Linked DNA regions of Canis lupus familiaris. The protein of the gene in region 1 binds, or shares a complex with, the protein of each later gene. Links are inferred from orthologs where the notes say so. Each region holds a gene or a part of one and is shown in the gene's direction. Other genes may lie near its edges.

What was found.
Region 2: SF3B2 (region 1) and BUD13 share a complex: the UniProt entries of both Homo sapiens proteins name them as parts of the minor spliceosome. The link is inferred for Canis lupus familiaris from reciprocal best matches to the Homo sapiens genes SF3B2 and BUD13.
Region 3: SF3B2 (region 1) and SRRM1 share a complex: the UniProt entries of both Homo sapiens proteins name them as parts of the minor spliceosome. The link is inferred for Canis lupus familiaris from reciprocal best matches to the Homo sapiens genes SF3B2 and SRRM1.
Region 4: SF3B2 (region 1) and SNRPB share a complex: the UniProt entries of both Homo sapiens proteins name them as parts of the minor spliceosome. The link is inferred for Canis lupus familiaris from reciprocal best matches to the Homo sapiens genes SF3B2 and SNRPB.
Region 5: SF3B2 (region 1) and SRRM2 share a complex: the UniProt entries of both Homo sapiens proteins name them as parts of the minor spliceosome. The link is inferred for Canis lupus familiaris from reciprocal best matches to the Homo sapiens genes SF3B2 and SRRM2.
Region 6: SF3B2 (region 1) and SF3B3 share a complex: the UniProt entries of both Homo sapiens proteins name them as parts of the SF3B subcomplex of the 17S U2 SnRNP complex. The link is inferred for Canis lupus familiaris from reciprocal best matches to the Homo sapiens genes SF3B2 and SF3B3.
Region 7: SF3B2 (region 1) and PPIL2 share a complex: the UniProt entries of both Homo sapiens proteins name them as parts of the minor spliceosome. The link is inferred for Canis lupus familiaris from reciprocal best matches to the Homo sapiens genes SF3B2 and PPIL2.

Annotation. Positions count from the first base shown.
Region 1 is NC_049239.1:51,708,437-51,712,243, reverse strand, and holds part of SF3B2 (splicing factor 3B subunit 2), read left to right. Parts: intron 1-389; coding exon 390-507; intron 508-835; coding exon 836-936; intron 937-1,265; coding exon 1,266-1,362; intron 1,363-1,549; coding exon 1,550-1,641; intron 1,642-2,003; coding exon 2,004-2,219; intron 2,220-2,372; coding exon 2,373-2,510; intron 2,511-2,680; coding exon 2,681-2,761; intron 2,762-2,974; coding exon 2,975-3,202; intron 3,203-3,807. UniProt on the Homo sapiens protein: Component of the 17S U2 SnRNP complex of the spliceosome, a large ribonucleoprotein complex that removes introns from transcribed pre-mRNAs.
Region 2 is NC_049226.1:16,817,106-16,821,573, forward strand, and holds the start of BUD13 (BUD13 homolog), read left to right. Parts: upstream 1-1,440; 5' UTR 1,441-1,483; coding exon 1,484-1,626; intron 1,627-3,920; coding exon 3,921-4,014; intron 4,015-4,468. UniProt on the Homo sapiens protein: Involved in pre-mRNA splicing as component of the activated spliceosome. As a component of the minor spliceosome, involved in the splicing of U12-type introns in pre-mRNAs.
Region 3 is NC_049223.1:74,434,912-74,438,718, reverse strand, and holds part of SRRM1 (serine/arginine repetitive matrix protein 1), read left to right. Parts: coding exon 1-53; intron 54-1,297; coding exon 1,298-1,501; intron 1,502-2,312; coding exon 2,313-2,507; intron 2,508-3,225; coding exon 3,226-3,345; intron 3,346-3,807. UniProt on the Homo sapiens protein: Part of pre- and post-splicing multiprotein mRNP complexes. As a component of the minor spliceosome, involved in the splicing of U12-type introns in pre-mRNAs. Involved in numerous pre-mRNA processing events.
Region 4 is NC_049245.1:19,125,543-19,129,932, forward strand, and holds the start of SNRPB (small nuclear ribonucleoprotein-associated proteins B and B'), read left to right. Parts: upstream 1-1,456; 5' UTR 1,457-1,611; coding exon 1,612-1,614; intron 1,615-4,038; coding exon 4,039-4,190; intron 4,191-4,390. UniProt on the Homo sapiens protein: Plays a role in pre-mRNA splicing as a core component of the spliceosomal U1, U2, U4 and U5 small nuclear ribonucleoproteins (snRNPs), the building blocks of the spliceosome.
Region 5 is NC_049227.1:38,736,242-38,740,799, forward strand, and holds the start of SRRM2 (serine/arginine repetitive matrix protein 2), read left to right. Parts: upstream 1-1,632; 5' UTR 1,633-1,647; coding exon 1,648-1,684; intron 1,685-3,854; coding exon 3,855-4,134; intron 4,135-4,558. UniProt on the Homo sapiens protein: Required for pre-mRNA splicing as component of the spliceosome. As a component of the minor spliceosome, involved in the splicing of U12-type introns in pre-mRNAs.
Region 6 is NC_049226.1:77,098,600-77,102,406, forward strand, and holds part of SF3B3 (splicing factor 3B subunit 3), read left to right. Parts: intron 1-401; coding exon 402-557; intron 558-1,072; coding exon 1,073-1,216; intron 1,217-3,807. UniProt on the Homo sapiens protein: Component of the 17S U2 SnRNP complex of the spliceosome, a large ribonucleoprotein complex that removes introns from transcribed pre-mRNAs.
Region 7 is NC_049247.1:31,118,251-31,122,057, forward strand, and holds part of PPIL2 (RING-type E3 ubiquitin-protein ligase PPIL2), read left to right. Parts: intron 1-2,108; coding exon 2,109-2,200; intron 2,201-3,037; coding exon 3,038-3,127; intron 3,128-3,807. UniProt on the Homo sapiens protein: Has a ubiquitin-protein ligase activity acting as an E3 ubiquitin protein ligase or as an ubiquitin-ubiquitin ligase promoting elongation of ubiquitin chains on substrates.

The DNA of each region.
Region 1 (3,807 bases):
GTTAGATCTTAAGGAGCAGATAAAAGAATTCATTGTTCCTTAGACATAACTTAATCTCTTGGGGGAAAAGCTCTTGTTAAAAAAATAGAAGGCTGTGTGTAGTTAAATGTTAAATTCTCCGTTAGAAACCACGAGTTTCCCAGGTTTTTTTTTTTTTTTTTTTTTTTTTTGCGTGTTATTTGCAGGGGTTTTCTTTTGTGATAGAGGCCACTTCCATTTGGATCAATAGTCCAATCACCCTTCCAGGGTGGGGCTGGTGAGGATGTCAGAACTCAAGTGGTACCTGATTGTTCTTCTTTGGGCCTCCTGGCTAAAAGACTACATTTGCCAGAGGCTGCCTGACCAATGGATTTCCAAGCTGTGTATTCACTCCCACATCTCTCTTATAGGCAGCTGTGCTCCTGGAGCAGGAACGTCAGCAGGAGATTGCCAAGATGGGCACCCCAGTCCCTCGGCCCCCACAAGACATGGGCCAGATTGGTGTTCGCACTCCTCTGGGTCCTCGAGGTAAGACCCTGGAAATGGAAGAGAAGGGAAAGGAGTGTGTTTGAAAAATCCTAAATGTAAGTACTTATTCTTTAAAGTGCGTATATTGTAAGCATATAGTCCAATGAATTGTAATAAATTGAACAACTCCCACAACTAGCACTTGGAGCAAGAAACAAAATTAAAAAAAAAAAAAGAAAAAAGAAAACAATTCTAGTACCTTAGAAGTTCTCCTGGGCTTCTTCTAGCCATCCCCTTTCCCTAAGGGTTACCATTGGTCTTTAGCAAGGAAGGTAATTTTTAAAATGAACATTGTGTCTTCTGACATTGGATTTTTTTCTTCTCACAGTTGCTGCTCCAGTGGGCCCCACTCCCACTGTTTTGCCCATGGGGGCCCCGGTTCCCCGGCCTCGTGGTCCCCCACCACCTCCTGGAGATGAGAATAGAGAGGTGAGATTGGTGATTTCTTTCTAGGGATAGGAGAGTGTGGTTTAGGAAGGTACTGTTTCTGGATTTTTAGAGAAGGATTCTGAGAGAAGATAGGAGGGCTTCTGGGGCTGGGGGGCAGGTGAGAGCCATACTTCGTTAAAGCATATTTATGTAGGGCAGGAAGTGGGATTTGGGAGACATTTCTGGGGCAGGGTTCTGAGGGGTGCTGAGGGATGATTGGGTCCAATTAGTATTGTTGCTCTTGGCTGTGTACATCACCTGGCTGGCAGCCTTTCTAGTACAAGAGATGGAAGTCTTGAGATCATCTCTGTCTGGGTTGTGTATGGCAGATGGATGACCCTTCTGTGGGACCCAAGATCCCCCAAGCTTTGGAAAAGATCCTGCAGCTGAAGGAAAGCCGTCAGGAAGAGATGAACTCTCAACAGGGTGAGTGTTTTGTGTTCCGAGGGTTGTAGGATGGAACCTGGAGAGGCGGAGGCCGAGTCTGCATTCTTCCATCCCTTCCCTGAGGAGGGTTTGAGAGAGAAACTGGTTCTTGGTAAAGAGGAGTCACTGTGGGCAAGTGTCAGGGTACCAATGTGAGGAGACTGATGGCCACTTTCCTCCCTTACAGAAGAAGAGGAAATGGAAACAGACACTCGCTCATCCCTGGGCCAGTCTGCGTCGGAGACTGAGGAGGACACTGTGTCTGTCTCCAAGAAAGAGGTATGGGATGGACCTGAGTCTGGAAAGAATGTCCGGGGACTAAAGTAGCACCAGTTTTAGGTGTCCAATGACCAATAGCTGCTGTTTGTGCCAGTTCCCAAGCATCTTATAGATATTTTGCATTTAATTATCATAAATCCTTGCAGTTCAGGGTACCGTGTGTGCTTGTGTTTTATAGTTGCAAATATTGAGATTTTGAGAGGTGCAATAATTTACCAAGAGGTACACAGCTTGAGAGGGGCAGAACTTTGGAGACCTTTTCATGGTCTCTGTCCTCAGTCCCTTGGGGAAATTGGACGAGGAGATTAGGGGGCAGACATCATGCTTGGATTCTCCAACCCAGTTGGTTTTCCTTTTGCAAGAAAAACCGGAAGCGTCGGAACCGAAAGAAGAAGAAAAAGCCCCAGCGGGTTCGGGGGGCATCATCTGAGAGCTCTGGGGATCGAGAGAAAGAGTCAACCCGGTCCCGTGGCTCTGACTCCCCGGCAGCTGATGTTGAAATTGAGTATGTGACTGAGGAGCCTGAAATTTATGAGCCCAACTTCATCTTCTTCAAGAGGATCTTTGAGGCTTTCAAGGTACAGGGAGCAGTGCCTTAAGAAGAGGCAGAGCTGAGCAGGGAAGGGAAGGGGATGGGGAAAGATGTGGAAAGGAGGGCATCTTTTCAATGCTGCGTTCAGGAACTAGAGAGGGACACAGGGCTGGAGTTTCCATGTTGTCTGCCTCCTCAGCTCACTGATGACGTGAAGAAGGAGAAAGAGAAGGAGCCAGAGAAACTTGACAAACTGGAGAACTCTACGGCCCCCAAGAAGAAGGGCTTTGAGGAAGAGCACAAGGACAGTGATGACGATAGCAGTGATGACGAACAGGTGAGGCCCTCATGTTCCTGGTCGGGGGGGTAGGGCTTCAAGATGGGTGGCTGAGATGCATCCAGTGGGGGATCATGATGAACGCCTACAAAGAATCACTTTGGGGTGAGCTGGGAAGTGTGATTCACACCTCAGAGTCCTGCTCAAAAGAAATAATGGTTTTGTTCTAGGAGAAGAAGCCAGAAGCCCCCAAGTTATCCAAGAAAAAGTTGCGCCGAATGAATCGCTTCACTGTGGCTGAACTGAAGCAGGTGAGACCTGAGTTCATCTAGCAGATCCTAGAGTGAGCATGGCTGGGAGTCCACATGAGAAGCTCCTACAAATCCACAGGGGTCTTGTTTTAGGGATAGGGAGGAAGGCTTTGAAGGAGGCCTGGGTCACATGGGCACGTGTCCTCTGAGGAAGAGAAAGTTTTAGATCTGAGAGGTTATGGCTTTCTAGTGGCATGTTGCTGTGTTTTCCAGCTTGTGGCTCGGCCTGATGTTGTGGAGATGCATGATGTTACTGCGCAGGACCCCAAGCTCTTGGTTCACCTCAAGGCCACTCGGAATTCTGTCCCTGTACCACGCCACTGGTGTTTTAAGCGCAAGTACCTACAGGGCAAACGAGGCATTGAGAAGCCCCCCTTTGAGCTGCCAGACTTCATCAAACGCACAGGCATCCAGGAGATGAGGGAGGCCCTGCAGGAGAAGGTAAGGGACTGGCCAGGGCTCAGATCTGCCCTGAAGATCCACATCCTTAACAGCAACCTATTTCAAAATTGGGAATGTGGTTCCCAAAGTCCATCTATTTCTCAATTGTCTAATAATCCATTTTCCAGAAGTCAGCATTGCATATGACACAGGGAGGGAGGGGAGGGAGGGAAAGATCTCAACTTCTGAAAAGCAGACCTGGCCTCTGTTTGGAGCTAGCTCTCCTGCCTCTTGCTGAGACTTCTGATTCCATGTGGCTCTGTTTGCCTCTTGTGTCCTCATTCCTCCTCTGCCTACACTTTGGCAGCTCTTTGATCTGCACACAGTGACTCCTTTTTCCTACTTTGACTATACTTGAAGTTCTGTGTTCCCAAGGGAGCCTGATGCACTTTGTGGCTAGAGATTCATGGTGGTTGTGTAACTTCTTAGATTTAAATTTTTAAATTAAATATTTTGAGTAGGTAATATTTTGTGGGCTGCAAAACATTGCAGGAGGTATAAAAGTACATGATGAAAACTGCCTCCCTGTTAGACTCCTGTCACCCAGTTCTCTCCAGAGGCAGCTAATGAGGTCAGTCTCTTGATCAGATGGCTTTAAAAATATA
Region 2 (4,468 bases), on another chromosome or scaffold:
CTGAGAAGGTACTGGTAATGTTCAATGGAATGGAAAGATAAGTCTTCAAATGCCTGCTGACCACAAAGTAGTAGAGGCAGGGCTTTGAAAGTTCAGTTTGAGGTCCACCAAAGTGGATTAGAAGCCAACACAGGGTTGTGTCTGGGGGACCCATGGGGACCTCCAGCCAGTGAAGCCCTCTATCAATCTGGTATCCCCACAAGCCCTCAGAGACCCAGTCTGCTTTCCTTCCTGGGCCTCAGCTGGACCAGTCAGGACAACACTGTGGTTAAAAGTTCATCCATCAGGGCTGGGACTTCCACACCTATATTATATATAATTTTTTTTTTGAGCATGTATCCTGGATTCTGAGCAGAGCATTTATAAAGTATAACAAGCAAGCCTTCTTGACTAATAGGCTTTCAAACAGTGACAAAAATTTAACATGTTGAGATAAGGGAAATACTTGATCTAACATTTTCACAAACTTTGGATTTACCTCTTGTACCTCACTTGGCTAGCTTCTGCTCCCAAGGGTCACATTTTGGCTGTATAAAGTTGGACAACTTCCTTAACCTCTCCAAGCTTTGGTTTTTCTCATCTGTGAAACAAGCATAATAAAACCACTTGAGAGATTTGTTAAATGAGGTAATTTATGTAAAATAATGTTCACAAGAAGAAAAGGAGTATGTCCCCTCCCCCCGGCCCCTCCCAACTTGATAATTAGAATTCAGCTTCTCTATCTGGCTGAAAATAGAGCCAGGTCCTTTTCACAGGAAAGATTGCAGGCAACAGATAGTTGGGGGCTACGTATTCTATCAAAAGTGGGGAAGGTCACAGGTTAGAGAAACCTCCATATTTTTTCATGGTAATCACGTTTGGAATTCCTGACCTCTCTTGAATGGTTCGTGGAAGACTATTTAGAGCAGTCTAACCTCCACCTAACATACTAATACAAACAACATACATACTGTGCTTCAGACACTGTGCTAAGCATCTCACGCAGTAAAAGTGTCTCATTTCTCGAAGCCATTTAGTTAGGTGCCATTATACTCCCCAGTTCGTTAATTAAGTTGCCCCCGGACCTACAGTTGGAAGTTTCGGAGCCCGAACTCCAGCTTAGGGACACCGTCCCTCCAGAGCCCGAGGTCTTGACGACGCTATGGTGCTTCTGGAGCTGCTGGGGACAGAGATCTTGTTTGGGTCGTGGTTTTAGCCTCCCGCCAGCTGCATCGTAGGTTGAAGGGGCAGACAGGTGGACAAACCCCTGCCGGTCGGGCCGGCAGGGGCAGGGGCAGGGGGAGGGGGAGGTGGAGGTGCAATCGGAGGCGCGCGCACCTGCGGAGAGCCAGCAAGCGCAGCCGGGGGTCAGCCCGGGGCGGGTCCCACAGCTCTCCACCACTTCCGGCCCCGGCCCCGCCCCCCCGGGGGCCCCCCGCCGTGCGCTTCGCGTTCAGGAAATTTGTCCCCAGCGCCGAGCCGTCTCCCCGCCCCCGCCGCTGCCATGGCGGCAGCTCCGCCGCTCTCCAAGGCCGAGTATCTGAAGCGTTACTTGTCTGGGGCAGGTGCCGGCGTCGACGGGGGCCCGGACTCCGGTCGCAAGCGTCGCAAAAAGCGGCCGAAGCCTGGCGGGGCCGGCGGCAGGGGGTGAGTGGGTGCTGGCGGGGCGGGGCGGGGCCTGCGGCGGCCGGCCGCCCCTCTGCTCCCCGGCTCCGCGCTCGGCCGGCGCGCCCCGCGGCCGTGCGCTCGCCGCCTCCGGCCGCCGGTAACTTTCTCAGGCTGTTCCCGCCCCGGTGGCTTTCCGGCCTCTCCCGTGGAGAGTGAGTGTCGCGCCGAGAGGAACGGCGGGGTCGCCCGGAGCCTGTGATGGCACGGCCGGGGGCTCGGCGGAGTCGGGCGCCGCGCGCACCTGGGGCCGAGTCCTGCGCGGGCGGGCGCCGACCGAGGCTCCAGGATTCCGCGGCGGAGCGGGGCCGCCGTGCCGCTCTCCCGGCGGGTCCGCGCAGGACCCCAGGACGTGACTTCCTTCGGAAGTAGTGCCGCCGCGGGTGTAGCTAATCAAGATGCGGTCACAGCACATCAGGACGGGCGCCAAATCCAGCGTGCCCGGGGACCCCTTAGGAAGGGGGGGATTTGGACGCAGAGATGGGGAAAGCCCGCCGTGTGAAGATGGAGGCCGGCCTTGGGCTGGGTTTACGCTGCCACTAGTAGCCAGAGTATGCGAGTACGCCTGCCGCTGCCAGCAGTTGGAACAGCCAAGGAATCCCCCCGCCCCCAGCCTTCCCAGTGGGCACTGCCTTGCAGACACCTTGATTTCAGACTTCAAGCCCCCAGGACCCTGAGAGAGTACAGTTCTGTTGCCTTAAGCCGCCTGGTTGGCGGCACTTTGTCAGGCAGCCCTGGGGAACCAATACGCCCAGCTCCAGAGACCAAATCCACTTCCTTTTTTTTTTTTTTTTTTTAATTTTTATTTATTTATGATAGTCACACACAGAGAGAGAGAGAGAGAGAGAGGCAGAGACACAGGCAGAGGGAGAAGCAGGCTCCATACACCGGGAGCCCAACGTGGGATTCGATCCCAGGTCTCCAGGATCGCGCCCTGGGCCAAAGGCGGGCGCCAAACCGCTGCGCCACCCAGGGATCCCCCAAATCCACTTCCTTTCGTGGGTTGCTTCTTGCCTGTTCTTGCCCTCTGTCTTCCTGCCTTCCGACTTGTGTCGATTGTTTGGACACAGACAGTGCCATGTAGAGAAAATAGCTTGCTTGACCTCTGGAGTAATACCAGTCAGAGTTTGAGTCCTGGCTGTGCCACGTTGTGGGCTCTACGGCCTTGGGCAACATACTGTCTCTCCAAGACTGTTACCGCAGCTTCCTTTCTTTATTTTTTAAAAGATTGATTATTTATTTATTTATTCACAAGAGACACAGAGAGAGGCAGAAACCCAGGCAGAGGGAGAAGCAGGCTCCATGCAGGGAGCCTGACGTGGGACTTGATCCCTGGACCCTGGAATCAGGCCCTAAGCTGAAGGCAGATGCTCAACCGCTGAGCCACCCAGGCGTCCCTATTTTTTTTTTTTTTTTAAGATTTTATTTATTTATTCATGAGAGACACAGAGAGGTAGAGAAAGAAGCAGAGAGAAGCAGGCTCCATGCAGGGAGCCTGATGTGGGACTCGATCCCAGCACTCCAGAATCATGGCCTGGGCGGAAGGGAGACACTCAACCACTAAGCCACCCAGGTGTCCCGGTTACTGCCTCTTTAAAAGGAGAGTAATACTATCGCTCTATGGTTGTGATTAGAGAGGTATAAAGTGATAACTGGCTGTTCAGATAGAATTGTTCACATCATGGTAGTCATTGTTAATTACTTGGACTCATGCATAGTTTATCTGTGTAACAAACATGTATTGAACACCTACTTCTTATGCCAGTTACTTCAGGGTGTTCAGGATATCACAGTGAATGAGAAGGCATAGTCCCTATTCTAGTGGGCCTTATAGTTTAACAGGGATCCTGGCTTTAAACAGCTAATTACACAACTAACTGATTTATTTTCTTTGTGATTAATGCAATGAAAGTATTCCAAGGATGCATAACAGAGGTTCTTAGTCATGGGAAGTAAGGGGAGAAGCTCAAGGAAGTTAAATGTATCCTAGGACTCTTAAGAGTTTCCCATTAAAGAAAGAAGAGTAGGCCAGGCCGAAGGAAGGAACTGAATATGTGAAAACTGATGTGGTAAGGTATTGGCTCATTCCAGGCACCAAAAGATGATTAGCAAGGTAGGGAACTGTGGAGGCAGTGGTACAGGTGAAGTTGGCCGTATAGGCAAAGACTGGACCTTGCAGAGTCTTGTAGCTTATACTAAATCCATAGATAACTGTTTGTGGGCTGTCACCCAAGAATGATTCTTCCCTTTTTGATCTTTTTATTTTTCATATTTAGAATGCGGATTGTGGATGATGATGTGAGCTGGACATCTATCTCTACCACTAAACCAGAAAAAGAGGAAGAAGATGATGATGGAGATTTGCCTGTGGTGTGTATCTTTTGAGGTTGTGAGGACTTTGAAATGCAAGACTCTCAATCTTGATTCTTAGTACAGGGTGGATTTATAAGGGGGAATGTTAGGGCCCAAAAGAGGTGACACTTTTCAAAGAGCTGTTTTATTTAATTAATTAATTTTTAAAAAAGATTTTATTTATTCATGAGAGACACAGAGAGAGAGGCAGAGAGATAGGCAGAGAGAGAAGCAGGCTCTCTCTGAGGAGCCTGATGGACTCAGGAGCCTGATACAGAACTTGATCTCAGGACCCCAGGATCATGATCTGAGCAGAAGGCATATGTCCAGTTCAACTTGTGAGCCCTCCAAGAGCTGTTCTAAAGTAGTTTACTTTGATAATGCCTATAGACCGCGTGTTTTCTTTGTTCATGGAGGGCCTCATTAGCCTAGAAATGGGAACTAATCACAGAGAGGCAGGACTTCTCATTGT
Region 3 (3,807 bases), on another chromosome or scaffold:
GAAGAAAAAGAAAGCAGCAGAGAAAAAAGGGAGAGGTCTCGAAGCCCAAGAAGGTATAATGCAGTGCATGCATACCTGATGTTTTGCAAGTATTCTGTGTGTAGAAAATTGCACAGAATAAAAAGGAAGCTAACAGCACTATTCAGAGAACTTCTTCCATCGTTCATTTTCACAATGGACTGAATAAGGCTTGTCTCTAGCCTGAAATACATCAGTTTTGTTTGAGACCGAACATTTGACTAGAATAATTGTCTCTAAAATCTTGGTGAATAATACAACTGTTAATTCCTATATCAAAATCTAGATTTTTATTTTTTACCATATTGCTTTTGTTTAAATATAGCATTGAATTATTTTACTCTTTTTCTTTCCTTTTTATTAGAAGTCTGTGCCCATTAGCTAGTTGTATTATACTTACCTAATTCCCTGTTCTGCTTTTCTTAGATGGTTGTACTGAACCCAAAACAGATCACTTATTTTTCTTCTTCCTTCCAATGAGACTATGGTTAGGTTCCCATTTTTAAACCCACGACTCAGCTTCTACTGTATTTGTGGTGAAAGGTGAGAATTCTCCTAGGCTTTCATTTTTAGAGTTCTAAGTTTTTCATAAGTCTGCTGGAATTAGTAAAGGGAGGAGGAGATTTCTTTGTCCATTTTTATTTATATATTTGGTATTAAAACCTTATCAGGGAAGCAGTCTTCTAGAGTTCAGCACATCATGGTGGTTAACTATTGATGAACCAGGTCTGCTGTTTTACTTCAAGTTAGAGAAACTGTAATTGTAAAGGAAAGTGGTCTTTTTCAAAGACTATGCAAGTTTGACTTTTTTTTTTTCCTCTTTTGAAGAGCATATTACTTTAATTGCACTAGTCATTTTTCTAAAATATATATAGACTACCTAACTCTGTGGTGGGATCTTTCTGCATTTAAATTGTTTTGTTGGACTTGAGTTACTATTAGGGAATATCATTTTACCTCTCAAGCATTCCTTTCCTCTGAAAAGTTAGTCTTTGGTCTCCTCGTCCCTAGGAATGATTAAAAATCTAAATCTAGAGTCCTGGGTCAGTGCTTTCCTCTTATAACTGGTATACCGGAAAATATTGTTACCTTTGTTTGCTTGCCTTTCTGGTTTTCTTTTGGCCCTTCCCCTGTTAAGGAAATATGACAAGATATCTTATTTTCACAAGGAATTTCTCAGGTATAACAAACAGTGGTGTAATTAAAAAGATTAATTTGCCCTTTGATCTCTCCCAATCCACATTATTCAAAAACCTGAAAAAAATTACTTTCATCCTAGACGCAAATCCAGATCTCCTTCCCCTAGAAGACGATCTTCCCCTGTCAGGAGAGAGAGAAAGCGCAGTCATTCTCGATCTCCCCGTCACAGAACCAAGAGCCGGAGTCCTTCCCCTGCTCCAGAAAAGAAGGAAAAAACTCCAGAGCTCCCAGAACCATCAGTGAAAGTAAAAGAACCTTCAGTACAAGAGGCCACTTCTACTAGGCAAGTATATAAAAATTCATTTATAAATATCATAGTTTAGGCTGTTAATAACTGGCTGCCAATATAATTGAATTACAAACATAAAATTACTTATTTCCCTTTTATATATATATATATATTTTTTTTAAGATTTTATTTATTCATGAGAGAGACAGAGAGAGAGAGGCAAAGACATAGGCAGAGGGAGAAGCAGGCTCCATGCAGGGAGCCCGATGTGAGACTTGATCCCAGGACTCCAGGATCACGCCCTGAGCCGAAGACAGGCGCCAAACCGCTGAGCCACCCAGGGATCCCCCCCCTTTTATATTTTTTAAATCATAAAATCAGCTTGTTGAAAAGATTCCAATTCTACAGAAGAGTTTTAAGTAAATGCCCTGAAGGTGACCACTGCTATCAGGTGGTTGTATTGTTTCAGATATTTTATATATTGTAATTTGCCTTTTTTCTCCAATATCGTGGACAGCTTTGTACTTTAAAAATGTTTGTGGTTAGGATCGTTACTTGCTCTTTAAGTTTCAGTGATGTGTATATATCTAGGGTTAAGGAGAAGTCTTCATGGATTTTGAAAACATTTAATTTTGTTTATTTATTTTCTTAAGATTTTATTTATTTGACAGAGAGCCAGGGAGCCTGAGGATCCCAGGACCCTGGGATCATGACCTGATCAGAAGGCAGACACTTAACTGACTGAGCCACCCTGTTTTCAGGCACCCCTGAGAACATTTTAAAAAGAAAAATCCTACTATGTCATTATGTTATGACTTAGGAGTCAGCTGAAAAAGGAAAAAAAATAAGCTTTCTGTTTATACAGTGACATCCTGAAAGTTCCCAAACCCGAACCTGTACCAGAGCCTAAAGAACCTACTCCGGAGAAAAATTCCAAAAAGGAAAAGGAGAAGGAGAAGACCCGACCAAGATCTCGGTCACGTTCCAAATCAAGATCCCGGACACGGTCTCGCTCTCCGTCTCATACTCGACCTAGACGGCGTCATAGATCCCGATCAAGGTGAGCTATGGCTTCAAGATCGACATAGATCTTGGGTTTTGCATGCTGCTCTCTGGATAGAATTTTTTTTTTAAGATTTTATTCATGAGAGACACAGAGAAGCAGAGACATAGAGGGAGAAGCAAGCTCCCTGTGGGACTCAGTCCCAGGACCCTGGGATCACAACCCGAGCCAAAGACAGATGCTCAACCACTGAGCTTTCTACCTAGGCATCCCTCTGGGTAGAATTAGATAAATAATTTCAGAGCAGTAGAAAGCATTTAGTACAAGTGTTATTCTTTGGACCTAAAGAGAGAATCTGAGGACACTTTCTGTGTACCATAAAAATCTCTACGTAAATGGAAAATGGTATGCCTTGAAGTCCATTTTTAAAATCTAGTTGTTGGAAAAAAAAAGAAAAAAAAAATAAAATCTAGTTGTTGGGCAGCCCAGGTTGCTCAGCGGTTTAGCGCCACCTTCAGCCCAGGGTGTGATCTTGGAGACCCGGGATTGAGTCACATATCAGGCTCCATGCAAAGAACCTCTTTCTTCCTCTGCCTGTGTCTGTGCCTCTCTCTCTTTATGTCTCTCATGAATAAATAAATAAAATCTTTTAAAAAAATGTGTGTGTGTATATGTATATATATATATATATATATATAGTTGTTGAGAAAGCTGTATCAAGGAATTCGTCCCTTGCTCTTGTTTATTCAGGTCTTAATTCTGTTTGTTCTGGCAGATCATACTCCCCTAGAAGGAGGCCAAGTCCGAGAAGGCGGCCATCTCCTCGCAGAAGAACCCCACCAAGACGAATGCCACCTCCACCCAGGCATAGAAGGAGTAGATCTCCAGTGAGACGGTGAGGGCTTTCTTTATTTCTTGTTCTTTATCTATCCCTTTCCTTTGCTTTTTTTCTTTATCTTTTTCTGATTTTCCTTTTTTTTTTTTTTTTTAATTTGGAAGTGTCAGTACATGAAAGTACACCACATTTGCTTTAGGCAATGTTTGAATTAGTGTCTCCCTAGAATAAAGAGCTCATGAGTGATATTATTAGGTGATGCTTTCTAAAGAGCCTCTTGAGGTTTAATTGTGCAATGAAAAGCAATGCTAGTGCAGTGTTGGGGGGGGGGACAAATTTACCATTTTACTGATGTTTTGTATTAAGTTACCCTTTGACCCCAAGATGTCCTAGGAACAAGGGAATTTGCCACACACCCTATTCCTTTGGATTTTAATTATCACTGGCTTCTGAAAAGCAGATGACCACAGAGCCAATAAGCTATTTTTACCAATATTAAAATAATCTATGTAGTCAAACTTT
Region 4 (4,390 bases), on another chromosome or scaffold:
CTCTACCCTCTGGAAGTACTGCTGTTCCTCAGTGGTCTGTTCATGTCCTCTGGATCCAGGGACCCTTTAACCACACTCCCACTGCAGTCTTCCAGATTCCAGGGTCAGGTCCTTTAACTGTCCCCCAACTGTTCTCTAGCCCCCAAATTACTGCTTTAGGCTTCTTAGCTATTACCTGTGTCAATTCATAGGTCTAAAGACCCCTAAACACAGCCCTGATACCATGCCCCCTCAGCCCTTCATCCCTGGAGTCCAACCTTGCTAGTGACACCCCCCATCATCCCTCGAAGACAACCTAGCTGTACACCTGCCCTAGTTTGTCAGCAATGGGATTCCTAGCATAATCTTTTCCCCAGTGGAAATGGAATATAATACCATGCTATGCTGTTTTTATTTTCTCCCAATATGCATGATATATCTGTTTGCTGCAGCCCTTCAGGTGCAGACACTATGCAGTATATGCTTTGTGTCAATGTCACCCTGGCTCCCCATGCACATCCAAGTCCCTCGGTGACCCTGCTCCCATCTTTGGCTTGCCTGATGACTGTAGACCAGCTCTGGCCCATGCAAATCTTAAAAAAATAAAAAAAGAAGATTTTATTTATTCATGAGAGAGAGAGAGAGAGAGAGAGAGAGGAAGGGGCAGAGACATAGGCAGAGGGAAAAGCAGGTTCCCTGCGGGGATCGTGATGCGGGACTCGATCCCAGGATCCCAGGATCATGACCTAAGCCAAAGGCAGATGCTCAACCAGTCAGCCACCCAGGCGTCCCTCACCATGTTATATTTAGTATATTAGACCTCCAGGTCAAGCAGGTGGCTGGAGATTTTGGCCACGAGTTAAATAAAGCACCCAGGGTTAGAGGAATAAATCTGAAATTCCTGAGCATTTAGGTAGTATTCACAAGTCATAGGACTGGATGGGATTGGTTGATTGACTCATTTGTTCATGGAAATATGTTTAGAGCTAGGCATTGCGGTAACGAAAAATACACAAAGGAAAATCTATACCCTCAGAACTTGCATCCTAATGGGGAGGAATAACAACAGAAACACGGTATATTAGGGATCACCATTAAGGAGGAAGATAAAGCAGGTAAGGGCGGGAAGGCTGCAGTTTAAATAAGGATGGCCAGGGAAGTCCTCAGTGGGAAAATGTTACTTGAGCTGAAGTCCTGAAGGATGTTCGGGCAGGAGTCGTGCAGGTACCTGGACGACTAGCATTGCAAAGGTGCTAAGGCAGGAGCTCGTCCAGCAAGTTCACAGAAAAGGACAGGCCAGGGAAGAGCGGTGGGACCTGGAGACCCAGAGGTAATGGGGAGGGGCGTGCGGGCAGCTCCGGAACCGATTGAAGCTAGGGAGGTGACCTAACATCCCGGGAAATGTTGTTTGACGTTAGCCCCGCCCCAAACTCCCGCGGGCGTCTAGGCTCCCAGGTCGGCGTTTTGGCCGGAACTCAAGAGCCGACGCCGGGCCGGAAGTAGTTTTTACCCGACCCCATTTTATCCGCGGCCGCACTTCCGGTAGCGGCGGCGGGAAGCGGTGTAGTAGCGGGCGTCTAGGCCTCTGCTGAGGGCAATCCGGCGGGAATCGGAGCCATCAGAACCGCCACCATGGTGAGGACGGGCAGGCCGGCTGCGCGGGAACTTCCGAGTCTGTCGTGGAGTGGGCACCGCGGCCGGTCGGGAGGAGGTCGTGGGTTGGGGGCTCATGGCGGCGAAGGCCCGGGCCGCAGCCGCCGCGTCTGGGCGGGGGAGACTCGGACCGTGGCCTTTGGACGGGTTGGGGGAAGGGAGGGCTGGGGCCGAGGGACGGAGGCCGGGGCCGCTAGGTGGTGGCGAGGATGGGCCCGCGGCTGTCCACGCCGCTGTAGCCACGGTGCTTGGGATCCTGCAGGCACGAAGTAAACTTTTGCGCAATAAATGCGCGTTTGGGGTTTCGGAGCAGACATAAGAGCCTCAGGAGGACTCGTGAAACGGGGTGAGGGTCTGAGGGGGACTTGCGGAAAGCGGGGAGGACTTCTGGCCGAAACTAGAGAGCGTGCTTGGGTCTAGCAGATGGGAGGAGGGAATGGGAGGGAAACCGAAGATGGAGGAAGGGTTCAACTCCTTTGTGGGGCAGGTCTGTGTGAGCGTGTCTGGCTTCTCAGGCACTGGGGCTACTCCACTCCTTTCGCTTTCTAGTTGCGGACGCAGGTAATATGATCCAGAGTGGTAATTAAGCGCTGCGTAAAAGTAACGGGGCGGGGGGGGGGGCGGGATAAGAACGTTTTCCTGGAGTAGATGGTTCCTGAGCAGAGTCCTAACAGGTTGTTACAGGAGTCTCCCCAGCCTCGATGGAAGGGAGTATTGTAGATTGGGAGGGCTCCAAGAGCAGGGCGTGAAGGGCCGCACTGTTGAGGGTTCCTGGAGGGGTCGAGGGGGAAGGGATGGAAGAAGAGATGGGAGGAATTGGCAGGAACCTGGCTACTAAAGGCTTTCCATGCTGCCTGATCCCGTTGGTGATGAGGGATGCCGTGGAAGGATGTAGCCAGCGAAATGACGTGGACGCAGTTGTGTTTAGAAAGAGCGCTCTGTTCTGTGGCTGTTGCGTGTTGGGTGAACCGAAAGCCGGGGATTGTTTGTAGGATTGGTTTGGAAGAGTAGGCACTGGATTCAGTCTGTCTAGGTTCCAGACCAGCTTCCTGGCTGTGAGACGGGGCAAGCTACTTAACCTCTCCTGACCTCAGTGGCTGCATCTGTAAAATAGGAATAATAATTAGCCTGGTTTTTAGAATTAAATGAGATATTTAGAGACTGCTGGGTGGCTCAGTAGTTAAACATCTGCCTTGGGCCCAAGGTGTGATCCTGGAGACCCGGGATTTAGTCCCACATCAGGCTCCTTGCATGGAGCCTGCTTCTCCCTCTGCCTGTGTCTCTGCCTTTCTGTGTCTCTCATGAATAAATAAATAAAATGTTTAAAAAAATAAAAGATATTTAGTGCTTGTCACAGTGCCTGGTACGCAGTGAACGACCAGGAAGACTTACCTATTATAAGGTGGACAGACCAGTAAATGTTGCCATAAGGCTTCAGATCTGTGTGGCTAGAATCTAGAGGGCAGATTTAAATGGGGACACTGGACTCAAGTTAACCAGCTTGTAGCTGGTTAACAGTCATTTGAGGGAGAGTGAGCCACATAACTTGTGTCTCTAGGCAAGGCTCTGATCCACACATTGGTGGGTTGAAAAACCTGTTCTTGTCCAAGCTTACAGAGATGAACAGCAAGCACAGTAACTGGCAAGAAGACGACACTTGGAAGGCTGATACACAAATCAAATGCCAGGTTATTTCTAGAGAGGTATAACTGCCAAAGGCACCTGGCAATTTGCGTTGTGAGTTCTATTTAGTCTGTCTTTTACCAAAGCTACCTTGGAAGCCAGGCTACAAACCAGAAAAGGTTGTTGGATTGATAAAGAAGTTTAAAGACCATTATGTGTTCAAACTGATGAGCACCCTGGCCACCAGAAAGTTTCCCTCCCAAAGACAGTTTTGGAGGCACATTAACATTTTTCGTTTAGGGATTCCATTTGCCTTGCCTCCAAGCTCATCAGCTCCTTTCTGATAATAGATTCTTGCTGATTGGATCCTTAGTGCCAATCATTCCAGCTGTTTTACTCGGTCCTTTAACTGGGCTGTGGGTGTTCCACAGCACTGGAGTCACACACCTGTAACCTGCATAGTGGCAGATGGCTAATCTGGTATGGGGGGATTGGATTAGTTTGGAGATACCTTACTCCTCACCCCTGAAACTGACACAGCAGACACACAGGCAATTGTGATATGAAAAAGACTGATTTTAAGGGAGAGTAAGAGAGTTGTGGGCAGAGGTCTGGGCTGAACACTGGGTGTGGGAGAATTCCCCGGGAAAGGAAGACAGAGCTGAGAAGTTGTTGAGAGAGATAGCCATGTGGAAAAGTAGGCCAGAGCTGGTTTTTAGGAAGGACCAGGGATATATAGGTTCAAAAGAGCTTGACTCTGATCCTGCTGATTTCTCCTTGCAGACTGTGGGCAAGAGCAGCAAGATGCTGCAGCACATCGACTATAGGATGAGGTGCATCCTACAAGACGGCCGGATCTTCATTGGCACCTTCAAGGCTTTTGACAAGCATATGAATTTGATTCTCTGTGACTGTGATGAGTTCAGGAAAATCAAGTGAGAAGTGGGCTGCATGGGGGTGGGATTTAAATTGTGAGGGAAATGGACTGGGTGGGTGGGCCAAGCAACAGGTAGTGATGTAGCCAGCTGGTTCCTTGGTTTGCTCTCCTGTGTTAGAGGGCAGATTTAAATGGGGACGCTGGACTCTTAAGAAATCTCCTTCGTTATTAGCCCGGCAAGCCTTGCTCTCTAGTCGT
Region 5 (4,558 bases), on another chromosome or scaffold:
ATGTCGCTGGGCTCGCACCATCAACTCCAAACATGGGGAGATAAAATGGCGGCCGTGTCCCTGGCGAAGCCACATACGGGTCCCGCGGCACGCACGACCTACAACTCCCACAGTGCTCTGCGTCGAAAGTGGGAGGGCGGGGAGCGCGCTAGCGACCCTCGATGTGGCGCTTAGGCCCTGTGCCCCGCCCCGCTCCCGGCGGAAACGCTCTGGAATACGTGGCCCGTTTCGGGCCGCTCGCCCGCCCTTCGTCGCACTGGCTAAAGGGATTTGTAGTTCCTTGGCTGTGGAGTTGACCCTCCCTCGGGCCTTAAGAAACTACAGTTCCCGGTGTGGCTTCGGCGCCTGCGCACAATGCCGCAGGGCGTACTACGGTTCCCGACGGGCCCTGCGCCGCGCGCGCGGGTGCGTGCTGACGCGCTTAGTTGGTCGTGCTGACGTGCAGCGCGGCCCAGGCGGGGTGCGAGTGGCGCAGTCGGAACCCGCTGCGGCCCCTGAGGAAGCGAGGAGGCGTCGGTCTCGGCTGAGGCAGGCAGGCGGACCGGCGAGGCGAGGCGGCAGCTCCAGGCCCCGAGGGACTCGGGAGCTTAAGCAGCGGCAGCGGCGGCAACACCTCTCCCCCTCGGAGGCGGCGGGCGGAGGCGGCGGCGGGTGAGAGGGTGAGGGAGCGCGCGAGCCGGGTGGGGGAGGGGCGGCGGCCCCCGGCGCGAGGCCAAAGCGCGCGGAGAACGGTCCAGGCCGCCGCGCGCACGCGCGCTCGCCGCTCCTAGCTCGTGCGGACGCTCTCGCTCGCCTGCCTCCCCTCCCCCCCTCGGCTGCGTTCGGTTCCCGTCGCGCGCGGGCTTTTACTGCCCTCCCCTCCCCCATGGCAACGGCTCGCGCCGCCGACTGCTCTCGGGTTCGCGCGCGCTCGCGGCGGGGAGGTGGGGAGCGCGCGCCTCGGCTTCTCGCCTCCCCCACGCGTGCGGCCGAGGAGGCCCTCCCGCGGCTGCCCCTTCCGACATTTTGTCGGTGGGGAGGCGGCGGCGGGGGCCAGTTCCCCGATCGCTTCCCCCGAGCCCCTCCGGCCTCCGGGCCCTCCTGCGGGCTTGCGGTCCGGCGCAGAGCCGCCCAGACTCCCGGGCGCCGCGCAGCCCCCTCCCCCATGCCTCAAGGCCGAAAATAGGCCTCGGCAGCCCGGCCGCTGCTGGGAGGCCCGGGACGAGGTGTCCGCGCGTCGGGCCCCGAAGCGCTAGGCAGAGGGGCGCTGCAAACCTTGCTCCCCCCACCTTTTTTTTTTTTTTTTTTTTTTTAAGACGTGTTCAGCCCAGGTACGTAAAGGCAGTCTGGGTCTCTCTTAATTCTTTTTTTCATTTTTCCACTCTATAATCGTCTTCTCAAAAGTTGTGTTAAAGCCGAGGAGGCCGTTGGAGCCCTTCCTTGGGAAGGAATCGCTGGGCGCCGTTTCAGGCATTATTTGGCACCCAACTCTCGGAGGCTTCATTTCCACTCACGCTTATCTAAGATGTCGTCTGGACCAGAAATTCGGAGACAGTGTTGTGTTTTAAGTGTGTGCTATTAGGTTTTCTTCTTGAACTAATATTTCAAACTTTCTGGGTTCCATAGTGTCCTCCGAGCCACCGAAATGCCCCCTCTCCGCGCTTACCTATGTCCATTTTCCTGCACGTCTACCTCCTTGTTTTTGGTGCGTTGTCTTCAGTATCTTAGTATTGAATTTCCAGGTTGCTTTCTAACGCTTTGTTAGTTTGGCATTGTGATAAATTTCCCAACAAAAGAAATTCTCTGTTGTCTTGCTTTGCAGCTTATTTTTACTCTGACTTTAGCTTGAGTAACTTTTGTGCTTTCCCAGTCTGTGGACTCCAGTTAAGAATGCCTGTTTTATTACAAAGTTACTTTTTTTGGTTATTTCTCTGTGTTGACGTTCCCCTTAGGTTCTTCCTTTTAGTGTTTTGAGGACTGCCTCTGAAGCTGTGGGATTGGGGGGGGGGCTTGTTCTCTAAAAGTTCTACAATTCGTTGTGTTTTAATACTCTTTTCTCAGCAGCTACTGGTTTTTTCTCCTAATGGAGTGGGAGGATTTTTGTGTGAGGTGGTATGGAAGTGTGGGTGAATGGTTAAGCTGAAGAATTAATTGCATGTCAGAAGCGTTCTTTATGGGAGGCAGAAATTAGGTGGGGTTTAGAGAAAGAGACCTAGGTTTAGAGTAGGGAGGATTGGGATTTGAGAAAATGAAGTGAAGATTGGAAGGTAGAGAAAGTGATTTGTGCTGTAAGGAGATTTTTCAATTTTTTGTGCATATTTACTTGCCTTTCCTAGGTTTAGCTTTGTCTCCTTTACCTTAGGCCTTTTTTTTTTTTTCCAAGCCCCCCCCCCCCCCCCCCCCCCAAGCTTTCTTGGATCTGCTAATGGGATTGGGCAGGGATCCAGCCTTTAGAGTTTGGGGATAGAGGTACAAGCAGTTCTGGAATTCGGCAATTTTTCTTCCATTCGTTGTCTCCCCATACTTATGTTTTTGTTTTAGTATATTTTTCCAGGTGTTTGTATACTTTTTAAAAAAATTTTAGAATTTTAAAAATAAGTCTTTTATCCATTTTTATCTCTTTAACTAATTTTACTTATTTTTTGGGTTTTATTCTTGGGGTAATTTTCCCTCATTTACGCTCTGTGAAGCTGTCTTCGACAGGATAAGATGAGGGAAGAAATAAAGTATACATAATAGGGAAAATAAATAGAGTATGCGTAACTAAGCGATCTAACCAGAAGAATGGGGGTTTGAGGGTTCTTTGGAACAGGTTGAGAAAATAGAACTTGGTAGGAGGCATGGAGATAACATGAAAGGGATAAGACAGGGCTGGAGGAGAAACTCTAGGAAGTCAGATACAGAGGATTGCCAGGGAAAGCTGACAGTTTGAGGTTAGTGAAGATGGGTATAAAGTGTGAGGGGGCTTCTGAATAAGTTGAGGGCAAGGGACGTAGAGAGTACAGGGTAGTTGGAGCAGAGGAGGCTGATTTGATGTGTTCAGAGCATTGAGTTGAGAACAGATGATGTGTAAAAGCTAACGAGACTTGGGTGAGCTGCAGATCATGTAAGAAATCCTATTGGGAAGGAAATTAAAGGAATAAGTTATTAGGTGGGGTTGGTAATAGGAGCTTATAATATTTGGAAACAAGGAAATGGTCTCTTGGGAGGTAAAGAAGAAGAGGATTCTGTATTCAGGAATCATATGTTTATGATAGGCGTGCTGGCTTTTATTCTTGAGTGTGAGGTTGCACAGGACACTTGGTTTATGTTGGAACCAATTAGTCCACAGTTCAAATATGTAGGTTTTGTTTTTGTATCGGGGTAGTCTGAAGTTTTCAGGTCAGTTTTTAGAAGAACCTTTGAACTTGGACTGTGGGCCTTTAGGTGACACAGATCCATGGTGGTGGTTGTGCCGTGTTGGGAGATCCTAGTCAGTTAACAGATGTTTGGGATTAGATTGGTTGGTGGAGACGTCACTTGTGCTTATTGGGGCCAAAGGAGAATAAAGAGGTAGTGTGGAGAAATTTGGGAGAAATAGGTTTCTTTTTTTTTTTTTTTTTTTTTTTTTAAGGGTGGAAAAGAACATTTAGGTGCAAACAAATGGAAATAGTTCTCGCATTTTGGGGGGAAAGGGCTGTAAGCGTAGATGTCATTCAATGGAAAGTATAGGAAAGGTAAGGAAGGGTTTTTGTTAGGAGACCAGGAGGATTATGCAGCTAAAGGAGGTGTAATGTGGAGATTCATGTTGAAATAGGGATGAAGGAGAACAGGGATTTGGGTGGTGGTTAGTTTGGGGTCAGGGCCCTGACCCGTGTTTCCCCGCTCCCCTTCAGGAGCGGTGGTGCCCCCCCCTCCCCCCGGGCACGGGGCCATGTACAACGGGATCGGGCTGCCGACGCCCCGGGGCAGCGGCACCAACGGCTACGTCCAGCGCAACCTGTCCCTGGTGCGGGGCCGCCGGGGTGAGCGGCCTGACTACAAGGGAGAGGAGGAACTGCGGCGCCTGGAGGCTGCCCTGGTGAAGCGGCCTAATCCTGACATCCTGGACCACGAGCGCAAGCGGCGCGTGGAGCTGCGATGCCTCGAGCTGGAAGAGATGATGGAAGAGCAGGGGTGAGGGGAGGGCTGGGGGAGAGCCAAGCACTGAGTGCAGAGCTGGGGGAATTAGGTGGGATGTAGAGCACTTAGGGCTGGTTGAAGAGACTTGGAGAGGAGTTGTAGGAGGGGAGGAGGTTAAGGAGCTAGCAAGTGGAAAGGAGTTAAGGGACAGCTCAAAGTGGGAGATGAGGTAACTGCGACAAGAGGAAGCCTGAGGGAGTCTGAATTATTTAGGTGAAGGTCCTTGGGGAAAGGGGGGAGCCATTGAGAAACAAAAATGTACTTTAAGGGGAGAGGTGGGAAAGCAGGTGTCAGGCAAGAGAAGAGCTAAGGTATAAGCTGACAGGTGTTGCCATTGGTAGAGAAGAGGAAAGTAAACGGATATAAAGGATTGAGGCCTTGGAAAATATCGAAGGCAGGAAAAGAAGAACTGGAATAA
Region 6 (3,807 bases), on another chromosome or scaffold:
GGCTGTGGCTAACCTGATAGTCTAACTGTACCTCTGATTGAGATTTCTTTGTCTTTTAAGTTCCATATTTGAATTCTCTTTCACCAAAAAGTATTCTCATGAACAGATAAGCAGTTTTCTGTATTTCTATTTGCTTTAGGAAATTTGTAGCAAGCATATTGTATTTGTCAAAGACAAAGATACTGTGTTGTCCCTTGAGTGTCTTGTCAGTAATTTTGCTTGCTGTTAGCCTGTAGAGTTCAGTCTTGGGATCTTAAGTAGAGAAATGCTTGGTCATTGATTATAATAAGAGGAGTGAGAGGAAGCACAAAGGAATTTAACAGTACCTCTTCCTTTCCTAGGCCCAGGGTTTAGGGGCGAGTTGGAGTGGTTTGTCACCTCTCTCTGTTTCATTTATGTAGTCAGGACAGCTGAATGAGTACACAGAGCGGAAGGAGATGTCAGCAGACGTGGTGTGCATGAGTCTGGCCAATGTGCCTCCTGGAGAACAACGGTCTCGCTTCCTGGCTGTGGGGCTGGTGGACAATACTGTCAGAATCATCTCTCTGGACCCCTCAGTGAGTGTTACCCTGGACTTCAAGGATCTTCTCACTGGAATCTGAGCTGCTGGCCCATTCCTGATGGGCATTTCTGGGATCAGCTAGGTTAGCCCCTGAAATCAGCATCTGCCACTTGTGATTATCATAGCAGCACACCTCAGGAGTCTTCTGCAGTACTTTAAAGATCCTAATCCCAGACTACTAAGTGCTTCCTTACCTTAAGCCTTGACTCCCTTTTATAGTTAAACAAAACCCAAAGACTTTGCAGAAAAGGAATCAGACTGGCTTTGGACCTTAGATAAGAATAAGTGCCCTTTGCTTATTTACATTTACCGTTATCCACTTTTATGGAAAGGAAAGCATGGTTCTTTCTAGAGCTTATTCTAACATTTGGTTTAACTAGTAGTAACCCATTTAGAACTCACTCTGTAAGATTCCCCTATCCACAAGAAAGTTGTTTCTTCACTCCTCAAATTAGATTTTTCCAAAATTGGTTATTTCCCATGTTTTATTCTTTTCTCTTTCCTCCTTAGGACTGTTTGCAGCCCCTGAGCATGCAGGCTCTCCCAGCCCAGCCTGAGTCCTTGTGTATTGTGGAAATGGGTGGAACTGAGAAGCAAGATGAACTGGGTGAGAGGGGCTCTATTGGCTTCCTATACCTGAATATTGGGTTGCAGGTAAGAGATCCAAGGCTCACATTGTTGTTTTTTTGTTGTTTTGTTTTTTATTTTTATTTAAAATTTTTTTTTTTACTTCTTCATTCATGAGAGATACACAGAGAGAGGCAGAGACATAGGCTGAGGGAGAAGCAGGCTCCTTCCTGGGAGCCCAATGGGAGACTCGATCTCAGGACGCTGGGATCACACCCTGAACTGAAGGCAGATGAGCATTGTTGATGTCAGGTCGTCTTTAGCTTTTATGCAGTCCTTGTTCAATATGGGCATTTGCTGAGCCTGTTCAGTTTACCACCTTATGAAAACTGAATGGTGCTGCTGTGTGTTCCTTTTCTCTTAGTACTAATCAGAAAGGTCAGGCCTAGGAAAAGATACTTTCATAAAGAAAGAGTCTTTGATATAAATGTGATCACTGCTTTGGGTCAGAACTAGAGGGAGTCTGAAGTGTCATCTGCAGTTTTCACAATATGCAGCTTTTGGAAACTAATACCTTTTGTTTTATAACGGACTCCTTTAGTAATAAAGGACCCCTAGATGTTTACTGTTGTCAAAGCATTGGGGCTTTTCAGAGCATGAAAAGCAGCAACCTAAGGATAGCAGAGTGTCAGTGTTTTTGACGATACACTTTTCGTTTTCCTTAATGATTATTTGTTCAGCTCCCTGGGTAAATAATCTAGCCCTGCTATGTCTTGCTATTTCTCAATTACTTCCTAATTGAGAAATTTCTCAAACATGCACAGGAGTTAGACTAATGTAACATGTACCCATCACTTGTTTTATTTTTTTATTGTATTTTTATTTTTTTAAGGATTTTATTTCTTTATTTATGAGAGACCCACAGAGAAAGCAGAGACACAGGCAGAGGGAGAAGCAGGCTCCCTGCAGGGAGCCCGATTTGGGACTCGATCCTGGGTCTCCAGAATCAGGCACCGGGCTGAAGGCGGCGCCAAACCGCCGAGCCACGCAGGCTGCCCTCCATCACTCGTTTTAATAGTTAACCAACATTCTACTGTTCTTGTTTTATCTATTCTTTGTTTTTTCTTTCTTCTGGGATATGTTAAAGCAAATCCAAGGTGATTTATCATTTCATCGATAAATCTTGAGAATGTAGCTCTACCAGATTTATGGGTTTTCTTTTTAGGCTTCAATTTTATTATCATGCCTAATACAACTTAACAGTTCTTTAATATCTGATACCTGTTTGTGTTCTGGTTTTTCTTGTTTCGTTTTTGTTTTTCCAGAAATGTTTTTGACTTTAGTTCTACCTAGGATCTGCATAAAGCTATCTGTAGTTTGCATCTGTGTGATCTATCCCTTTATGTTTCTTTTAATAAATTCTACTCCATTAAGTTTTTTTTTTTTTAAAGAAACTAGATCATTTTTTTTTTTAATTTTTATTTATTTTATGATAGTCACAGAGAGAGAGAGAGAGAGAGAGAGGCAGAGACACAGGCAGAGGAAGAAGCAGGCTCCATGCACCAGGAGCCCGACGTGGGTTTCGATCCCGGGTCTCCAGGATCACACCCTGGGCCAAAGGCAGGCGCTAAACCGCTGCACCACCCAGGGATCCCCAGAAACTAGATCATTTTCTTGAATTTCTACCTGCTGGCTTTGGCAGAGTCCTTCCTTGTGTGTTTGATGTTTATCTATCCTCTATTTCTTGTAAACTATTGGGTGAGTCTAGACCATGCTATTCATTAAAAATATAATGCAAGTCACATGTGTAATTTAAATACTCAAGTAGCCACAAAAAGGGAACAGATGAGGTTAATCTTAATGTTTTCTTTAACCCAGTATATTTTAAATGTCATTTCAATTTGTAATCACTATAAAAATTAACATAACTCATGTTCTCTCTTTTTGAACAAAGTCTTATTTTTAAAATATTTTTTATTTATTCATGAGAGAGAGAGGCAGAGACAGAGACAGGCAGAGGGAGAAGCAGGCTCCACGCAGGGAGCCCGATGTGGGACTCGATCCCGGGCCCCCAGGATCACACCCTGGGCTGAAGGTGGCGTTAAACCTCTGAGCCATCCAGGCTGCCCCAGATTTATTATTTTTGGGGGGGCCCAATAAGTGGCACTCTTTACTTTCTATTATATCAGGAGGCATGTAATGTCTGGCTATCCTACTTGTAATGGTGTTAAGATGTTTGTATGTATTTTAAATTATTTGCTCCCTGTCAACCTTTTACCTAGCAGCAGCTGTCGATGCCCATTGCCTAGATTCATTATGTCATTAGGGATTGGGAAATGACGATTTTCTGTTTCTTTCTTTCTTTTTTTTTTTTTTTTTAAAGCTTTTATTTATGAGCGCGAGAGAGAGAGAGAGAGAGAGAGAGAGAGAGAGAGAGAGGCAGAGACACAGGCAGAGGGAGACGCAGGCTCCATCCAGGGAGCCTGACGCGGGACTTGATCCCCGGTCTTCAGGATCAGGCCTTGGGCTGAAAGCAGCGCTAAACCACTGAGCCACCCGGGCTGCCCCGATTTTCTGTTTCATCTTCATTTCTTTAGCTGGAACTTGTCTCTGAAGACAAAATTTGCTTACCCCAAAGTATAGTTCGTATAGGGAAAGGATAAATACTTTGTTTTTCC
Region 7 (3,807 bases), on another chromosome or scaffold:
TGAGGCACCTGAAGCTGGGGCCTGACACTCCTGTGTCACCCCAGAGCCTGGCCCACAGTGGGTGCCAGCTCACTGTAAATGAGAGAATGGCCTTGACAGACCAGAAGCACAGTGCTTTGTGGACAGTCCCTGGAGGTTGAGGAGCTCCACGTAGGTAGCCAAGCCCCATGGACCTTCTCTGAGATCAGTCAACTCAGGCCCACAGTGTGTCTCTCATTCAGCACATACTTACTGTTTCTCATGTGCAGAGAGCAAAACAGGTCATTTCCTGGAGTGAAAGGAAGCTTGCATTATGGTGAGGGAGGAAACTGGAAAACAGTTGACCATAGTGTGTCAGATGCTGCCTCTGCCAGCAACTGGATTTCAGGAGCAGGGGAGGAGAGAGTCCTAGCAAGACACGCTGACAGGGTTTGAGTGGGAATCCGATGAGGGAGGAGGCGTGAGATGTGGGGGGAAAGCATCCCACTGCAAAGGTCCTAAGGAGGCCTGTGTTGCTGAAACAGTGTGAGAGTGGAAGCAAGGGGTTGTGGTTGGAGGAGTCTGAGTTGGGGACGGTGCAGAGCAGTTAGTTGTGCAGGGGCCAGGCAACTACGGGTCTCTCAGATGCTGGCCAGAGAGGAGACATGAGATCTGACTATTCACCTGTGTTATTTTCTTTTTTTAAATAATTTTGACCAAAAAAATAGTAATAATTTTGACCAGCAAGCACCTTTTTTACCTTTTTTGTTTTGTTTTAAGTAGGCTCCACACCCAGCGTGGGGCCCCCTGCAGGGCTCACATTCCTAACCCTATGATTAAGACCTGAGTTGAGATCAAGAGTTGGACGCTTAACTGACTGAGTCACCCAGGAGCCCCTTTTGCCTTATTGTTATTTTAGAAGATGTGGGATCCCTGGGTGGCGCAGTGGTTTGGCGCCTGCCTTTGGCCCGGGGTGTGATCCTGGAGACCCGGGATCGAATCCCACGTCGGGCTCCTGGTGCATGGAGCCTGCTTCTCCCTCTGCCTGTGTCTTTGCCTTTCTCTCTCTCTCTCTCTCTCTGACTATCATAAAAAAAAAAAAAATTAGAAGATGTACTTATTTATTAGAGAGCGAGAGCATGGGTGTGTGCTTGCTTGTGAGGAGGAGAAGGGGCAGAGGGATAGGAGAGAGAATCCCCAAGTATACTCCACGCGGAGCATGGAGCCCGATGAGGGGCTCCATTCCAGGACCCTGAGATCATGACCTGAGCCGAAATCGAGAGTCAAGCGCTTAACTGACTGAGCCACCCAGGCAACTCCCTTTTTTTGTTTTTAATTGAAAACTTCAGATGCATGAAAGTAGAGAGACTTAGTACGGTGATCCCCTGCCCTGTAGCCATCACCCAGCTTCAGTTCCCATCCACTTAGGACTGTGTGATTTTACCTGTGCTCCCCTGTGGCACCTGCTTAGGTAATTTTGAAGCAGATGATCAGAAACGTGTCGTTTCATGCTTAAGTACTTCAGTGTATATCTCTAACAGATAAGGATTTAAAATACTTTTTTAAATATAGTACCGCCGTTCCATCTAAAAAGTTAACAGGAATTCCTTAGTGTCATCAAGTAACCCAGCCAGTGGTCAGAATCTGGAATACTTTCATGATCTTTTTTTTTATAGTTTTCAAATCAAGATTTTTAAAAAATCCACACAGTTTTGTGTGGTTGGTATCGCCTAAGTCTCTTAATCTGTAGATACTCTGCTGCTCTTTTTTCATAGTTTGTTAAGACTTACTTGAATGGGCTTTCTGGCTGCCTGGTGTGGAGTCGGCGGGCACGGGCAGGGAGGGCAGTGGGAGTTTGTTGCAATGACACAGCGAGGGAATGGGGGGGCGTATAGGAGGTTGGGGAATGTGGCAAGATCTGAGATGGAGGAGGGGTGGTGGTTGCTAGCAGCGTGTTGGGGGCTGATGGAGCAGACGACTCCAAGGAAGACCACGTAGGGTTTGGGTTTTGCGGGACAAGTAGGAGTTTCTCAGTGGGATTGGAACAGGAGGCTTGAGCAGCTGGCTGTCCCTCTGGGTCTTCGGAGGTTCAGGGCATGCTGACACAATGTCTCCTTTCTCTGGTCTCTTGGCGTGTGTCTTCTTTCTAGGAAAGTACCACTGCCCAGTGCTGTTCACCGTATTCACCAACAACACCCACATCGTAGCCATCAGGACCACCGGCAACGTGTACACCTATGAGGTGGGTTCTCAGGAGCTGCGGCACATATAGGTTCTTCAGGTATATGCCCCAGGTATATGCCTCAGCACCCAGGTGCTGAGGGTGCACCGGGCGCCGTGGGCACAGCCTGTCCCCGTGGAGCTTACGTGCTAGAGCCCTTCCTGTGGCCTCCTGACCTGAAACCTGGGAGGTTGTTTTATACTCGGGGGGTTGGCCCTGCAGTCTTCATCTTCGCTGACCAGGCCCTGGGAGGGAACCTGTGCTCTGATGGCAGGTCCAGGAGAGCGCTGAGCCCCCCCTCTGCCGCCTCCTGCTGGAGTCCCCAGGAGGAGCAGATGCAGGCTGGTGGGCACGCCTGGCGGTGGGCGGCCCCGATTTCCACCCGCATCCTGCTGCTCTGGGCCAGCAGAGAGTACAGCAGCAGTCGCGTGGGTGCTGTGTTGCAGGGAAGCCCTCTCTGAGCTGTTTTCCCACCTGTCCCTGGCTGTTGGCAGGGTCTGGATCTCCAACGCTGCCCTGTGGGGCCTGGGGGTCACTTTTGCCCAAAGTGTGCACAGATTTGGTTGGAGGGACTTGGTAGAGATGCACGGCCAGCGTTGTTGAGCCTGTTTGCTGATGTCAGATGTGTATCATTGGAGTGTCCTTCAGTGAGCTTTGCTGAGATGGCTGATTCGAGTGTCTGGGGCTCGGCAAGCTCCGTCCTCCATGGTGGGGCCACTGCTGTGAGCCCCCAAAGAGTACGTGGTCGTGCCATCCTTTTCTGCACCCCTGGAATGGCGCCAGCCCCTGGGTGGGCTCCAGGCTGCTGGTGCCAGGGTGGGGCAGGCACCATAACAGCGTGCTCCCTCCTGGCTGCAGGCAGTGGAGCAGCTAAATATCAAGGCCAAGAACTTCCGAGACCTGCTGACAGACGAGCCCTTCTCTCGGCAGGATATCATCACCCTCCAGGTGGGCGTCCCCTTGCCACTGCTGTTCCCAGGGAGGACTGGGGTGCCCCCTGCCAACCCCTCCTTCTCGCCCAGGCTCTGGGGCCTGCCTAGTTTTGGTTTCCCAGCTCCTGGGAGCACCCCCAGCTCCAGTGCCCCTGCTATCAGTCTAGGTCTTCACACGGCTGCTCTTCTCTGGTTCTCACACCTCTCCTAATGCCTGTCCTTGCTCTGTCACGGCCACTCATGTCTTCCATGAAAGCCATCTCCGAATCCAAGTGGGAGAGGATGGGCTGGTGTGTGCTCTACCCCAGGGTTGAGCATAGGACGTGCCTTGAGGTGCCAGACCTGAGTGGGTTCCTGAAAGGCCTGGACTTAGAAACTCTAGGGGTGGCCTTCGTGGGCCATTCCTGTCCATGGCTTGTCCCCTCCTCGTCAGAGGTCCATGCACACTCACTCCCATGGGGTTGCTTGCAGTCACCAGAGCCTGAGGACTGCAGGCTCTGTGTCTGGCAGCTGGGCTGGAGGGAGCTTGGGAGGGTGTGTCGGAGGCCTAAGGTGGATGCCCTGTGTCTCCCTACATCCCCATGATGAGGTCTGTCCATCCTGTGGCTGCCTAGCAGCAAAGGATGCTCGTCAGCCATGTGCTGAGGGGCAGGGGACAGAGTTTGGCGTGCAGACCAGCCATTTGTGCCACTGTCC